Stegostoma tigrinum: one gene and its partner. The protein of the gene in region 1 purifies or fractionates together with the protein of each later gene. This does not show direct contact. Links are inferred from orthologs where the notes say so. Each region holds a gene or a part of one and is shown on either strand. Other genes may lie near its edges.

The links.
Region 2: the proteins of bromodomain and PHD finger-containing protein 3-like (region 1) and kat7b purify together in Homo sapiens (affinity purification with mass spectrometry; 3 studies listed by BioGRID and IntAct, counting the BioPlex papers as one, with this or other methods). This does not show direct contact. The link is inferred for Stegostoma tigrinum from reciprocal best matches to the Homo sapiens genes BRPF3 and KAT7.

The regions. Positions count from the first base shown.
Region 1 is NC_081374.1:26,928,369-26,936,554, reverse strand, and holds the start of bromodomain and PHD finger-containing protein 3-like, read left to right. Parts: upstream 1-5,008; 5' UTR 5,009-5,291; intron 5,292-5,439; exon of another isoform or gene 5,440-5,545; intron 5,546-5,771; exon of another isoform or gene 5,772-5,839; intron 5,840-8,186. UniProt on the Homo sapiens protein: Scaffold subunit of various histone acetyltransferase (HAT) complexes, such as the MOZ/MORF and HBO1 complexes, which have a histone H3 acetyltransferase activity.
Region 2 is NC_081384.1:23,490,257-23,497,996, forward strand, and holds the start of kat7b (histone acetyltransferase KAT7), read right to left. Parts: upstream 3,260-7,740; 5' UTR 3,111-3,259; coding exon of another isoform or gene 3,096-3,110; intron 1-3,095. UniProt on the Homo sapiens protein: Catalytic subunit of histone acetyltransferase HBO1 complexes, which specifically mediate acetylation of histone H3 at 'Lys-14' (H3K14ac), thereby regulating various processes, such as gene transcription, protein ubiquitination, immune regulation, stem cell pluripotent and self-renewal maintenance and embryonic development.

The DNA of each region.
Region 1 (8,186 bases):
AAGGTATAGAAGACAAAAAAAGTGCATTGTTATGCTCCTCCTTTCTAAGATGTGAATGATGAACTGATGAACTATAATCATGAAAGAAATCTTAAAAACAACCACCTCCAATGAACGAAAACACACTCTTTATTGATGCACAGGGCATACTTTAAATTTATCTTGATCATTGAGATGCAGAGAACTAGATATATACTAAGAACTAACCAACTAAGAATCATGGAAGCCAAAAAGTACAACACTGATACTTGTAGCATCACTGACGATGTATTACCATATTGCAGGAGTACTGCATTGTTGGAGGTGCCAGCCTGCAAATAAAAAGTTAAACCATGGTGGCATCTGTCAATTCTTTGATTCAAAAGGGCATTAAAATCTCATACCACAACTTGAAGAAAAGTAAGTTTTTCTATAATCATTCTCTTGACCAGCATTAGGAATGAGAGGTCAATTGGTTATTCATCTGTTATTCATCTGTCAAACATTAATATGCCTAAAATTGCTGCACTTTTCGTCTACATGTACTGGCAACTCATTTAAAAAAAATCTACATATGAAGAGATAGTAAGAACTGCAGGAAATGAAGTAATGCCCATAGAAGTGTTTGGCCTGGTTAAAAAAAAACTTCAGCATTTTCACTATTACTTTTATTTGCTTGAAACTACTTCCGTTGGAGATTACAGGTTCAGCAACCGAACTATTGCCAAGAAAAACAATTGGATAGTGGCATTAGACAAGGCAGGAAATTTGCAATTGAAGCTGATGTCTTTCATCTGTTTTATTTAAAATGACAGTTTCTTAGAAGAACCAAAACTTTTTGTATTTATTTTTACTTATAGCTGTCTTAGATTAAACAAACAAGTATCAATAAGCATTAGCCACATAAAATGGTAGGTAAATTTAGACCAATCTAAATCCAATTTATTTTTCTAACCAGTTTTGATAGTTTTGTATGCTGAGGTTTCACTCCAAGAGATACAAAGGCAGAAATTATAACGGTGAATTCTAAGACTTGATGAAATTGTTCAATGTTGTTTTCTGTCTTAGCAAAACAATGCACATGGCAAAACTAACAAACTAGACTATAACATGGATTTTTTTTATACATTACCATGTTGACTTTGCATTGTGCATGTTGAAAAAGTAGAAAAATTGTTTCTTTCTTAGAGTTGCTATATAAGTACTTTAATATGAATAAGTTCAGTGGAATTTTTTTTCATTGTAGTTGTGGTGATTAACCAAAGGCGGCTTAGAGGAAATGCAAGAATTTACAAATTATTTTCTTTACATGTGGAATCTTTTAATTTTATTTAAATTGGGAACACACTGCTTGTTTTCTCCACCATTCTTTATTTTGTATCAAAATTGAGTAATAAAATTAAAATGCATTACAGGTTGGGAGGATGTTTTCAAGATCAGAAAAAGGAGTGAACTTAATCTAAATGTAGTTATTTAACACCAAAGATACAATATATAAAACAGGTTTTCCACAGTCAGTTAATTTAGATAGTATTGCCAAACACAAATGCAAGTTTTTTTGTTAGGTATTGTTTTAGCAAAACATATTATGTTTTAAAAATATTGTATGGGATGTGGACAACATAGAAGTGGGAATTTGAAATACAAACAGATCAGCTATGACCTTATTGAATGGGAATGCAAGTTCAAGGGGCCAAATGGCCTGCTGCAGCACCTATTTTGTTTGTTTATATATTGAACCATCCTTCATAACTTGGAGTAATTCTGAACATAGGATGTAGGGAAGATCATTGGTGTGGCTAAGGACTGCTCTGAGAAATGCCTCAGTAAAAATAGGGATCATTGGAGAAATTACTCTGACTACAAGTTGACAAATCCTTAGGACCCAATGACCTTCGCCCTAATGTTGAGGTGGATGGCTAGAGATAGTGGAAGCATTGGGAATCATCTCTCAAATTCTACTAATTATATAATGATGCCTGCCTGCCTCTATAACAAATGTAACCCCATTGTTTAAGGAAAGTAGGGAAGAGATGACACAGAACTAGATGTTAGTTTGACATAAGTAATTGGGAAAATAAAGGATGTGATTACTGAATATTTAGAAAATCATCATCTGATTAGACAATGTGTAGCTATGAATGAAAGATCATGTTTGACAAATCTGATAAAGAGTATTGTTCATATTATTAGCAAAGTTGATTAACAGGAACCAGTGGGTGTGGCTTTCGTTTGAACTTTATTAAAAAAATTCCTGAAAACTCAACACAGGTCAGTAATCAAAATTTAAAGGTGCATGATATTGGAGGGAATATATTAGGATGGACTGAAGATCAGTCAACAGGCAGATGAAGTAACTCCCCTGGGGTCCAGTATCCAGTCACCAAGTCACCTTTATTTCTATATGGAGAACCCTTGACACTGATCCAGCTCCCTCAAACAGTTCTCAATTAACAGGACACTCCTGTTTATAATCTATGTACTAGGGCTCCTTGGCTGGACCAGAGTAACAGCCCCAGTCAGGGAACTAAGGTCCACCTGGCTGACCTTGTTACAATCTCTGCTATAATCTGAGGACATGGGCCCATTCTTATACATTTTAGCACCAGGTCAGGTTCCTCCAACTCTGCCTCTGGTATGGACAATATGTAATACACAGGTAGCTCACCTCTTACACGTGGACAATTTCATAAGAAATGCATTTTCTTCACCTAGCAAAGGGATTGAGGCAGTGATATACACTATGTCCATCTCAGATTCTTGGGTATTTTCACCTCTTGATGGCAAGCAAGACCCCTGGGGTTTCAGAACAGTCAGTAAGGCTGTCGAGAAGCTGGGCACATTTTGCTCCCACACTGTTAGCTTTCATATGATCCACATGGTCATTCAAGACCATCACACACTAGTCCATTCTGCAATCACCAACATCACCACATGCATCCCAAACCATGGCACCTTCCCAAGTAACTGCAGAAAGTGCAACATCTGCCTCTTCACCTACTCTTTGCTCATTATCCAAGGGCCTAAACAGTCTTCCCAGGTGAAGCAGCATTTCACCTGTACCTCCTCCAATCTTGTGCATTGTATTCTCTGCACCCAGCATAGTCCCTTCTACATTAGGGAAACCAAGCACAAACTGGGTGACTACTCTGCAGAACACCTTGGGTTTCTGCACAAGCATGACCCCAAACTTCCCATAGCCAGCCATTTTAACACCACATCCTGCTCACATGCCTGCATGTCAGTCCTCAGCATGTTGCAGTATTCTAGTGAATCACAACGTACACTGGAGGAACAACATCTCATCCTATCTTCAGAATAGGTATCTTACAGCCTTCTGGACTTTACACTGGGTTCATCACCTTCAAACTATGAACCATTTCTTCCATTTTAGCATGTTGCATTCTGCTACCATGTCCTCTGTCCGGTAATCTCACGTTAGTGGGACTGTCAGCCCTTTCAAGTCCGGCAGGAGACACACCATTGTTCTGCCATTCTAACCACTTAACCTAAACTACCAAGATTTTTTTTCCTCTACTAACATTCCAAATCCACGACCCCCACAACCCACCTTAGCCTAAACTATGGCTTAAATGCTGTCCCCTACGCTCTCCAGCTCTGAAGAAGACATTTAGACTCAAAACGTTAGCCTGACCCAAATACTACGTTACCTATCCCATTCTATGATTGTGCGCAGCGTTAATTCAACTATTAAAAAAATGAGAAAGAGCTAGGTCTTTCAAAAGCTGAGCTGTATGCATCTGTGGTGTCAGCACCCGTTTTGTCACCCTGCTATCAAAATTTGATTTACCGCTAAACGCTCCAATATCTACTTTTCTCACACCGCCCAGGCCATAGTGAATCGTAATCCATTCATCCTACTAAGATTTTTTTTAACGCAAGTTATCAGGCTTATCAACTTATTGGCCAATAGGAATCACGTGATAGATCATTTGGCCATACTCTCATTGGTTAATTGTAATCATATAGCACGATCTCCCGCGTTTTTTTAATAATTGGTTGAGACTTTTTGCACTTTTGGTGCTATTCTATGCTCAGTCGGAGCAGGAGTGTTTCGTGCAGTAGTGGACTTCGACTGAAGCTGCGAGGCTGATCAAACTTGTTGCATTATGCATTTCCCTTCATTCGTGTAACCACAATTTATTTCCATTACGAGGAATTTTCCAACCAGCCAAGCAAAACAACCAACTGCTGTCCTCAACAATCGTTGGTTTGCAACTCCAGTAATTTGACACATTCGGAACATTTCAAGTACCCTAGTTTATTTATAGACAATCTTATGGCAATTTTAATTCAAAATCGAAGCGATAAAAACACGGCCGAGGCGGGAAGAATTAAGTATAAACACTTTGAAGGCAAAAGATAACATGTACAATCCGTAGTGGTACTTTGAGGTGATAATTTTCTTCCACTTTTGCGAATGACCTCTGGTTGTCTTAAGTGTGGCAATCCCCCAACCTTGGGTTTCAAAAAGTAACTTTTTTTTCAGGCCTCGGTAAACTGTTCCTGGGGATTTTTAAATGGGAGCGTTTGGTTCTGCAATAGCCTCACACTTTACTGCTAACATGAAGTAGGAACAGCGGGAGAGATGGATAACGCTCGATCTTTCGCTTAGCGAGGGGGGAGAACAGAAAAATAGCGTTTGTGCAGGGGGAGGGAAGCACCGCCCGCCCGTTATTCGAAGCCTAGCAAAAATGCAGTCAGATTCAAGGGGGAGCGGCCAGTCGCTGATGTGGAGGAGCGGGGACGTTGTGTTTGTGTGAGAGAGTAGGGGCAGCACCCACCCCAGGCTGAATCTCCCCATTCCCGCACCCCTCCTCTCGCGCGCGCGCCCCCCCCCCCCCCCCCGGTTGCTGCCCCTGCACGGGGTTTCCGCGATCGCTCGGGTCATGCGCAGGGGCGTGTCCGGCCTCTGATTGAAAAGAGTTTTTTTTCTCTTCCACCAAACCCCCCCAACTCCCCTCCCCCCACACCAGTAACACCACCACCCACAACCCCCTCCCCCCCGTCCCCAACAACAGCGGCAAAAGGTTCGCGTTTCTACCGCTATCTTACGTACTGTTCCTCGCACTCAAATCTCCATTAAAAGTCCGCCTTTCTCGCCCTGACACATTTGCGGGCGCAATATGAAGCGCTCCGTACCAAGAAGACGACATATTAAGCGTTGAACCGTGGGCACGGAACGGCATTTACCAGGCGCTTCGGTGCTATTTGTAATTATTTGTGTCCCGGAAAGTGATTTCGCTTCCCCCCCCCTTCTCTGCCTCTCCCTGCCCGACTTTGCATTCAAGGTAAATGGCGTTTGTTTTTACGCGTTTCTGGATATTCGGTTATTTGCGGGTTGGAAAGTGAAGCCGTGAGCTTTTGGGTCGCGCCGCTGCCATCGGCCGCGAGTGAAACGCACTCAGATAAGCCGTTAGAGGTCTGTAATTAATATGCTTTGGCGGGGGGGGAATGGAGAAGGTCGCTTGTTGTGGAAATAGTCGCCATCTTGTTCTACAGTAAATTCTCTCCGTCCAGCCGAACTGGGGTGGAGCCAAGCACGGTAAGTCCCGCCTTCTCCAATTGGTCAGTCGAGGGTAAGCTGTTTCTTGATTGGCGCTGAGTGAAGATGAACCCTGGCGTCTATTGGCTGGAGCGCCTATCAATTTTGCACGCGCCTATTAGTGGGTCGGTTGAGTCGTTGCTTGGTGTAGGCTTTGGGGGAGGGGGCGAGTGTATTGATGGTGGGTCGGTTGATGAAAAGAGATTCTAGAAAATTCTTCGTGCTGTTTGGGAGGGAGGTGGCGAGGGGTTCACGCCGGGAGTGGAGGGGTGGTTTGCTGAAACATGGTTTCAGGTGGGTGTTATTGTTTAGGGGTTGAAGTATACATTTGTTGGGGGGGGGTGGGGAGGGGAGAGAGTTGGAAAGGTATGGGAATATGAGCCTTATGGCGGCTGGACTAGGTGTCCATTGCTGCCAAGAGGGACTTTCAAATGGGCCCGGGAAACTAGTTTGCTGCGGTGACGTCAGCCACCTTTTGAACCCCCTCCCCGTCTCGACGTCATCGAACAGCTGAGCTGGCACGAGTGTCCAGTTGAGTTGGTGTCAGAGCCCGACACAGTGCAATGGGGGAAACAGACAAAGGACTGAGTTGGGGTCCTCCGGCCACGTCAACAATGTCCAACCCCTAGTAATGTGACAGCGGGGTCTAACTTGTGGAATAAAGTACACCATTAGTACCTACTATACATGAACCGGACACGTTCAGCGGTAACCCGATTTAAATCGAGCGCCCGTTTTCGCGCAGTGTCTTCTGCTCACGAAGGACTTGTGATGTCTTGAACGCTCGAGTTTTGTTTTTGGGCCTTCTTTTCATTTGTATTTCGTTTCATTTCGTTTGTAGTGAGGTAAACAAAATGAACAGGCAATTCAGAACATGTACAGCCCGTACTTTAAATAAAATAATCCAGATTTATTGATAAATAGCGACGTTAATGGGATCCTGGACCTAAGTAAATTTGAATGAAGTGGCTAAGTTCGTAAAATCTCTGTACAGATGTCATAAGCAGTTCGATTTACTATTTTACTGACGATTTGTATTGATGGGCAAAGCAACATGTTGTAGAAGATATTTCAAAATAATATAAACCAATTGAAACTCCTTTTTTCTGACTTTTGCTCATGATTTTTAAAAAAAATCTATGCGAGTAACTGAATTATGTTTCAAAGAATCTTTTGCTTGAAAGGAGTGCCTTAGCTATTGAATGCGAAGAAAACAAGATGTAGAGCTGGATGAACACAGTAGGCCAAGCAGCGTGAGATGAGCAGGAAGGCTGACGTTTTGGGCCTAGACCCTTCCTCAGAAACCTTCTGCTCCTCTCGCTGCTTGGCCTGCTGTGTTCATCCACCTCTACATCTTGTTATCTCAGAATCTCCAGCATCTGCAGTTCCTGTTATCTATTGAATGCTAATATGTCTTTTTAATCATTTCTAAAGTACTTAACTGAATTGTGCAAACAACTTGTGTATATGGCTTTTAAACTTTTTTTGTAGTGAGAGGTTCTAGAAATAATATCCTGTGCAGAAATCACTGGGAAGTATTCCTTTATTTTAAAAGTAATATAAAGTATTTACTTATCTCCATTTCTGCTCTGCATTGGTGGTGGTAGTAGTGTCTTTAGTTGTGAGCTAGAAGGCCTCTTGCATGATTAAAATCTGAACAGATTGATTAGAAAAGTCTGTAAAACACTGTAACTTGCAAAAAGCCATCTGCAACAATGTATATCATGTGATCCATTTGCCCAACAATGTTTCCTACATCTGTGAATTACCTCTAGTTATTTATATTAAGAAGGAAATTGTGAAAATAGAGATCTCTACGTTTGCAAGTCAATTAATTTATAGTGTTAATGAAATAACTGGATTTTAATATGCCAATACAAGTACAGTGTAGTTGGTGCAACAACAAAAACATTCCCCTCTTTGATTTCCTGCTCGAGGTTGTGTTTGGTTCCGATACTTGGATGTAGAGTATGAAGAGAATTTCTGTTTGCCTTTCAGTCTGATTTTTTGTGATGTTTTCCTTCAGCTGTTTTATTTTTTGATAGAGAAGTAGAAAGGTTTAGTCAACATTTTATGACCTGTTTGTAACTGCTTGTGACTACATGTATGCTATAAGTAGAGAAAAATCAGAAAAATCAAAGGCATCATTACTACCCCGTTCTGAATGCTGAAGTTAAAACTTTAATAGCCATGTGCTGTGCTATGGATTGTAAGTACTGTTGCAATTTTTAACATGTTGGAAAATTTTCTTCTTCGCACTAAATGGAAGTGACTTTGTTAGAGATGCTGATTAGACATTTTAAGTTGAACAACTGTGATTTTTACATATAAGATAGATGCATGATATGCGTAGGTGTGTATAGTTTATCAAACAGGCCTGGGTTTGCAGATTAAAGGATAAGTCCTGTTGAGTTTTTGTGATGGTGGTGAGAAGTTTTCATACTCGGGATTATAGTGATCGTTCTGTCTGTTGAGGAAATGGGCTATCTGTACATAAACCTAAAGGGAGTTTGTAGTTAAGGTGAAAATGAGGTGGGGGAATTTCCATTATTTATGTAATTCCCCATATGAAAGGCTTTTTTAAAAAAAACTAATTAAATCTTCCTTCACTTTCCTCCTTTCCACCCCTAATGAACCTATC
Region 2 (7,740 bases), on another chromosome or scaffold:
CAATACTGGTATCTACCCAACATTGATAATAGCCCACGTATGAACTATATACAAAAAGTAGGATAAATGCAAACTGGTTAATTACTGCCCAATCAGTCTGCTGTTGCTTATCAGCAGTGATGGTAGGGGTCAGCAGCAGGGCTGACAAACAACACTCGATTAGCAACAACCTGCTCATTTGGGATCCATCGGGGCCACTCAGCTCCTGACCTCATTATAGTCTTGGCTCAAACATGGATAAAGGAGATGAGTTCCAGAGGTGAGGTGAGGTAAGAGTGACAGCCCTTGACATCAAGGCCATGTCCGACAGTGTGTTAAACTAAGGAGCCATATCAAAACTAATATCAACGACAATCAGAGGCAACTTGCCACTAGTCTGAGTCATTGTCACCAAAAAGAAATATAGCTGTCATTGTTGGAGGTCAGTCATTTCAGCTCAAGGGCATCATTGCAGGACTTGCAGGGTAGATTTTTTTAATTAACTTGATCAGACATCTTATGACACACCTCCAGAGCAAGTGGGACTTATACCCAGGTCTCAGGCCCAGAATTAGGGACACCAGTTCGACAGCTCAAGAAGCCTGAAGTTTCTTAGCATAGTGTTCTAGGTCCAATCATCTTCAACTGCTTCGTTAAGAACCTTCCTCCCAATATGAAATCAGACACAGATGTTTACTCAAGATTAAATAATGTTCAGCAACATATACGTGATACCTCACACACTGAAGAAGTTCTTGCCCAAATACAGCAAGTTCAGAAATCAAACGACAGCAGATTATAGACCAAGGTTAAGGTTTTACAACGTTGCCTTCACCTGATAATAATCTGGTGGCATCTGATTTCTGACCTTGTTCACCCCGGTCAAATACTGGCACCTCCAGATCAAATTCAGCAAGATCTGGGTGATATCCAGGCTTGGGATGATAAGTGAGAAGTAGCATTCATGTCAAACTAATGCTAGGAAATGAACATCTCATTGACAGAATCTAACCATCAATGAATTCCCTACTAGCATCATCCTGGGGTAAGCACTCACTGAAAACTGAACCAGTCACACAAATATTGTGGCTGTTAGAGCAGATCAGATGCTAGGGATCTTGCAGCGAATAGCTTACTTAAGTTTCCTCAAAGACCGTTTATCATCTACAAAGCACAAGTCAGGAGTATATTGAAATACTCTTAGCTTGCCTGGATAAGTACAGATCCAACACCACCCAATATGTTTGACACCATCCAAGAATTAGAAGCCAACCTGATTGGCACCATATCCGTAAATATTCACTCCCTCTACCACAGACGCACAGCACTACACAGAATCTCCTGCAAAAGTTCACCAGGTCTCCATAGACAGCTCCTTCCAAACCCAAGATCGTTATCATCTAGATGTGCAAGGGCAGCAGGTACCTGGGAGCACCAATATCTGCAACTTGCCCTCCAACTTACCTTCCGCCATGTCTTGGAACAATTTTGCCATTCATTCAGTGGCATTGGGTCAAAGTACATCAGCAAATGGACTGCTGTGGTTCAAGAAGGCAGCTAACCTTTTCGATTGCACTTAGGAATGAACGATAAATGCTGGCCCAGCCAATCAACCTTACACCCACAGAATCACTTTTATCTAACAAGAATTGCACCAGTTACTGTGGCAGCCTGATAATTCTAGTGTCATTTCAGAACCATTTTAACTCCAACGAAGACTGCTATTAGATAAATTACAAATTGGCAACATATCAAGCAGCACGATCCATGCCAAACACGTGAATGCAACACCGTTAATCACCTGCAGTACTGAGGAAGTGCTGTTGTTTGGATACAACAGTAAATGCTCCATCAACTCTAACAAAGAACAAGGGATTATCCCCAGCATCCTGGCCAATACTATCCCTCAAACAACATCGCAGAAAATAAATGAACTATTCTGCTATTCGTGACGGCTTGCTGAGCTCACACTTGGGTGTTTCTTAGTGATTGCATTTCAAAAGTAGTTCAACGGCTGTACATATTTGGGAACCTCCGGAGGCTGTGAAAGACACTCTTTATTTTCACTTTACAACTGAAGAACCAAATTGTCAAAGGAAGGCGCATCAAGGGAAAGGCTCACAGTAATCATACAGTACTGACAGCAATCAGAAATATGAAGAAAACCTACTGTATTGAATTAATTAAATTAACCTAAGCACTGGCTTCTCCTTTACCACTGTCATTTATTACTGGGTCCCAGTACAGACAGCAATGGTTCAAACTAAACAGAAGTTGCTGGAAAAGATCAGCTGGTCTGGCAGCATCTGAGAAGGAAAAAAAAGTTAACGTTTCGGGCCCAGTCAGTCTTCCTCAGAATTTTAACTTTTTTTTCCCTTCATAGATGCTGCCAGACCTGCTTAGCCTTTCCAGCAACTTTGTTTTTGTTCCTGATTTACAGCATCCTCAGTTCTTTTGGTTCTTATTTAGCAATAGATTAAAGCGCGCTGTATTAGGTTATGTTGGTAGCAGACAACAAATTCTAACTGTGCGACAATGCTGATCGCTTATCACTAGTCAGTCAACCGAACTGTAACTACGTTCGGTGGCGTGGTGTGGTGCCTTGTCTTGTTTCGGCTGACCCAGCCCCCCACTGCCCAGAAGCAGCTGCCACTGTTGCTTTTGCACAAACCGCTTCCACCCTCCAACAGACCCGGGGGCGGGGCGGCGACTATCCGCCAGCCAATCATATGGCGGGAACGCCGGCATAGCCTTGATTGACAGAGGTCGCTGCCAATAGAATGAGCGAGGGGCGGGTCCGCGCGCGCCACTGGGACCTTGGCAGGCCCGGCGCCAAGCAGCGGTTTCTCGTATTTTCCATGGGGCCGGCAGGAAACGAGAGAAGCTCCGTCCCATCCCGTCTCCTCTCTCCCCTTCCCTTAAAATGGCATGTCCGGCCCGTCAAGGGGTGAGTCAGACCTTGAGCCTTCCCTCTCCCTGAGATTCCGGCAGAAAAACAAGTCACCGGGGAGGAGGAGGATGGAGAATGGTGGCGGCGAGAGGATTACAATAAATCCTGCCACCCAGGGAATGGAGGGTGAGATTGTAATTCAGCCGCGGCCTACAGGAACGCTCACCTTTCTCCGCGGCATCCTGCTCCCCTTACACCTCAGTAAGCCACTACTCGCTGTCCCCAGGACCGACTCCGCTTCTTCACAAAAAAATACAATCCCGAACCACTCGCGCCGTTGGCCGTTGTTGTTTTCCGCCACTTCCGGTCCGAGCGGAAGGTAATAGCAGTGGTGTTCCGGCTGCTCCGCGCTTTCAGTTCCTCTTGGTGGGACGGGGCCGGGGGACCGGAGCGGAGTGTGCACCAAATTAGCTGGCCGAGGCTGGAAGCTCTCATTAGCACTAAGGCAGCACCGGTAGAGACAAACAGCAATGTTCACGCTTCTGGCCGATGGTCTTTTAACGTGCGTGCGTGGGTGGGCGGGTGTTTTATTGTCAAGCGGGTGCTGAGGCAGATATTTCTCAAACTTGGTTCAGAGAAAGTAGGAACTGCAGATGCTGGAGAATCTGAGGTAACAAGATGTAGAGCTGGATGAACGCGGCAGGCCAAGCAGCAGAGGAGCCGGAAAGCTGATGTTTCGGTTCTGGACTTTTCTCCAGAAGGGTTTCATCTTGTTATGTCTATTTCTCAAACTTTCCTCGATCTTCGTCGGGATGGTTCAGAGAAGCGGGGTTAGAAACGGAGCTGCAAATTAGAATAATCCTCCTGAAGAGAAGTCATACCAGACTCAAAACATTAACTCTGTTTCTGTCTCCACAGATGCTGCCAGACTTGTTGAGTGTTTCCAGCAACTTCTGTTCTTATTTCAAATTTCCATCATCTGCAACTCTGTTTTATTTTGTTGTTTCCCTGTGCCCAAGTGGACATCCATGTTTAGCCTACTTTATACATACATAGACATGGTAGTTCAGAAATTAAAACTGCAAATGCTGAAAAAACTCTGTCTTCCGGCAGCAGCAGAGGGTCAAGTAAAGTCAATGTTTTAGTTTGATAATCCTTCAGAATTCTGGCATCCACTGTATTATCTACAGATGCAGGAGACCATCTGTAATTTTATCATCTTAATGGGTAAGATTAAGCAAAAATTTAACTCACTTTTTGTAGGAATTAGAAATAATTCAGTCCTAGGACTCGATGGACAATCTCAGTACTATACTGGTGAGAATTAAGGGGAAATCAGTGTTGAATTTGGCATTGTGTGCCTTCTATTTGATAGAGTATGTTTCTATTTAGCTTCCTTTAAATCATCTTAAATTCAGACAGCCCAAATAATAATGACTGAGAATCTATTCTACCTTTTGGAGTCTTGGAAAGCTGTAGCACTGTTTTCCCAACAATACTTTCAACAAATGTGACCATCAGATCATTGTTGCGAATAGCACATTGATGTGACTTCAGACTTCCATCAGCTGATGGCAAGTTGTCAATCAGAAGGTCTCTGAGCCAGTCTCACACCTTTGACACTTCCCAACCTGAACTCATGTAAAACTGTTGCTCTTTTCCTAACTTGCATCCAGACCGTATGTATGAGTCCTGTACTCATTGCTTATCTGTAAGTAAATGTAGGCCAAACACCTTAAATTTAAAATTCTGGTCTTTGTTTTAATTCTTCCTTGGCTCTGTCTCTCACTGTCACCTTCTCAAATTCTGTTCACGTGTTCTGCATACTCAGATTTTAATTACTGTCACTGGTGGTCATGCTTTCAGCTTCCTGGGCCCCGGCCACTGGAACCTCCGTACCTCTGTCTTCCTTACAAATGTTCCGAAAAATGAAATGTCTTTGGGTCACATGTCCTGATAGGTAGCTCTATGTCAAATTTTGTTTGTTGGCACTCCTATGAAGTGTCTTGAGATGTTTTACTGGATTAGGGACACTATATAAATATAAATTGTTTTTCTTGTACGGTAGTAGCAGCAAAAATGTATGATTATTTAATAGGTGATAAATTAAGATAGGTTGGCTATTTGCCTGTTTATCTTCTAACCTTGGAGAAAAGACTGAAATAACTATGGTCTGTAGCTGTGAGACTGGAAAAGCACAGCAGGTAAGACAGCATCCGAGGAACTGATAATTGAACATTTCAGGCCAAACTTTTAGTTATACCTGCTGCTTGGATGCTCTCTGACCTGCTATGCTTTTTCAGATTTACACCTATAAACTCTGGCTTCTGGCAACTGCAGTCCTTATTTGTCTCCAAGTCACTGAAATAATCCTAATCTTAGGAAGATAGAATATTTTCATAGTATCTTTGCCTTTGCAAGATTGCAATCCCCTTGGGTTTGGGCCCTTATTTGTTGTGTGCAGTTTATTCTTCGAAAAAAACCTTTCGTCGTTACACATAGGTCCTAAAAAAGAATACAAAACTTGAAAGTCTCATTTCAAATTGACATAATAAATTAGATTTTGAATGCCTCCTGCTGGCCTTTTAAGATAACAATCTTTTTGAACGTAGTATCAGAGATAATGGGAACTGCAGATGCTGGAGATTCCAAGATAATAAAATGTGAGGCTGGATGAACACAGCAGGCCAAGCAGCATCTCAGGAGCACAAAAGCTGACGTTTCGGGCCTAGACCCTTCATCAGAGAGGGGGATGGGGGGAGGGAACTGGAATAAATAGGGAGAGAGGGGGAGGCGGACCGAAGATGGAGAGTAAAGAAGATAGGTGGAGAAGGTGTGGGTGGGGAGGTAGGGAGGGGATAGGTCAGTCCAGGGAAGACGGACAGGTCAAGGAGGTGGGATGAGGTTAGTAGGTAGCTGGGGGTGCGGCTTGGGGTGGGAGGAAGGGATGGGTGAGAGGAAGAACCGGTTAGGTAGGCAGAGACAGGTTGGACTGGTTTTGGGATGCAGTGGGTGGGGGGGAAGAGCTGGGCTGGTTGTGTGGTGCAGTGGGGGGAGGGGATGAACTGGGCTGGTTTAGGGATGCAGTGGGGGAAGGGGAGATTTTGAAACTGGTGAAGTCCACATTGATACCATATGGCTGCAGGGTTCCCAGGCGGCCTCCTACCCTCCCTCGACCTCTTCATCTCCAACTGCCGTCGAGACATTAACCGCCTCAACCTCTCCACCCCTCTCACCCACTCCAACCTCTCCCCCGCAGAACGGGCAGCCCTCCGCTCCAACCCCAACCTCACCATCAAACCCGCAGACAAGGGTGGCGCAGTGGTAGTATGGCGTACTGACCTCTACATCGCCGAGGCCAGACGCCAACTCTCCGACACCACCTCCTACCGCCTCCTCGATCATGACCCCACACCCGAGCACCAAACCATCATCTCCAACACCATTCATGACCTCATCACCTCAGGGGACCTCCCACCCACAGCCTCCAACCTCATTGTTCCCCAACCCCGCACGGCCCGTTTCTATCTCCTTCCCAAAATCCACAAACCTGCCTGCCCTGGTCGACCCATCGTCTCAGCCTGCTCCTGCCCCACCGAACTCATCTCCACCTATCTGGACTCCATTTTCTCCCCTTTGGTCCAGGAACTCCCCACCTATGTCCGTGACACCACCCACGCCCTCCACCTCCTCCAGAACTTCCAATTCCCTGGCCCCCAACACCTCATATTCACCATGGACGTCCAGTCCCTGTACACCTGCATTCCGCATGGAGATGGCCTCAAGGCCCTCCGCTTCTTCCTGTCCCGCAGGCCCGACCAGGCCCCCTCCACCGACACTCTCATCCGCCTAGCGGAACTCGTCCTCACACTCAACAACTTCTCTTTTGACTCCTCCCACTTCCTACAGACTAAGGGGGTGGCCATGGGCACCCGCATGGGCCCCAGCTATGCCTGCCTCTTTGTAGGTTACGTGGAACAGTCCATCTTCCGCACCTACACAGGCCCCAAACCCCACCTCTTCCTCCGGTACATTGATGACTGTATCGGCGCCGCCTCTTGCTCCCCAGAGGAGCTCAAACAGTTCATCCACTTCACCAACACCTTCCACCCCAACCTTCAGTTCACCTGGGCCATCTCCAGCACATCCCTCACCTTCCTGGACCTCTCAGTCTCCATCTCAGGCAACCAGCTTGTAACTGATGTCCATTTCAAGCCCACCGACTCCCACAGCTACCTAGAATACACCTCCTCCCACCCACCCTCCTGCAAAAATTCCATCCCCTATTCCCAATTCCTCCGCCTCCGCCGCATCTGCTCCCAGGATAAGACATTCCACTCCCGCACATCCCAGATGTCCAAGTTCTTCAAGGACCGCAACTTCCCCCCCACGGTGATTGAGAACGCCCTTGACCGCGTCTCCCGCATTTCCCGCGACACATCCCTCACACCCCGCCCCCGCCACAACCGCCCCAAGAGGATCCCCCTCGTTCTCACACACCACCCTACCAACCTCCGGATACAACGCATCATCCTCCGACACTTCCGCCATTTACAATCCGACCCCACCACCCAAGACATTTTTCCATCCCCACCCCTGTCTGCTTTCCGGAGAGACCACTCTCTCCGTGACTCCCTTGTTCGCTCCACACTGCCCTCCAACCCCACCACACCCAGCACCTTCCCCTGCAACCGCAGGAAATGCTACACTTGTCCCCACACCTCCTCCCTCACCCCCATCCCAGGCCCCAAGATGACATTCCACATTAAGCAGAGGTTCACCTGCACATCTGCCAATGTGGTATACTGCATCCGCTGTACCCGGTGTGGCTTCCTCTACATTGGGGAAACCAAGCGGAGGCTTGGGGACCG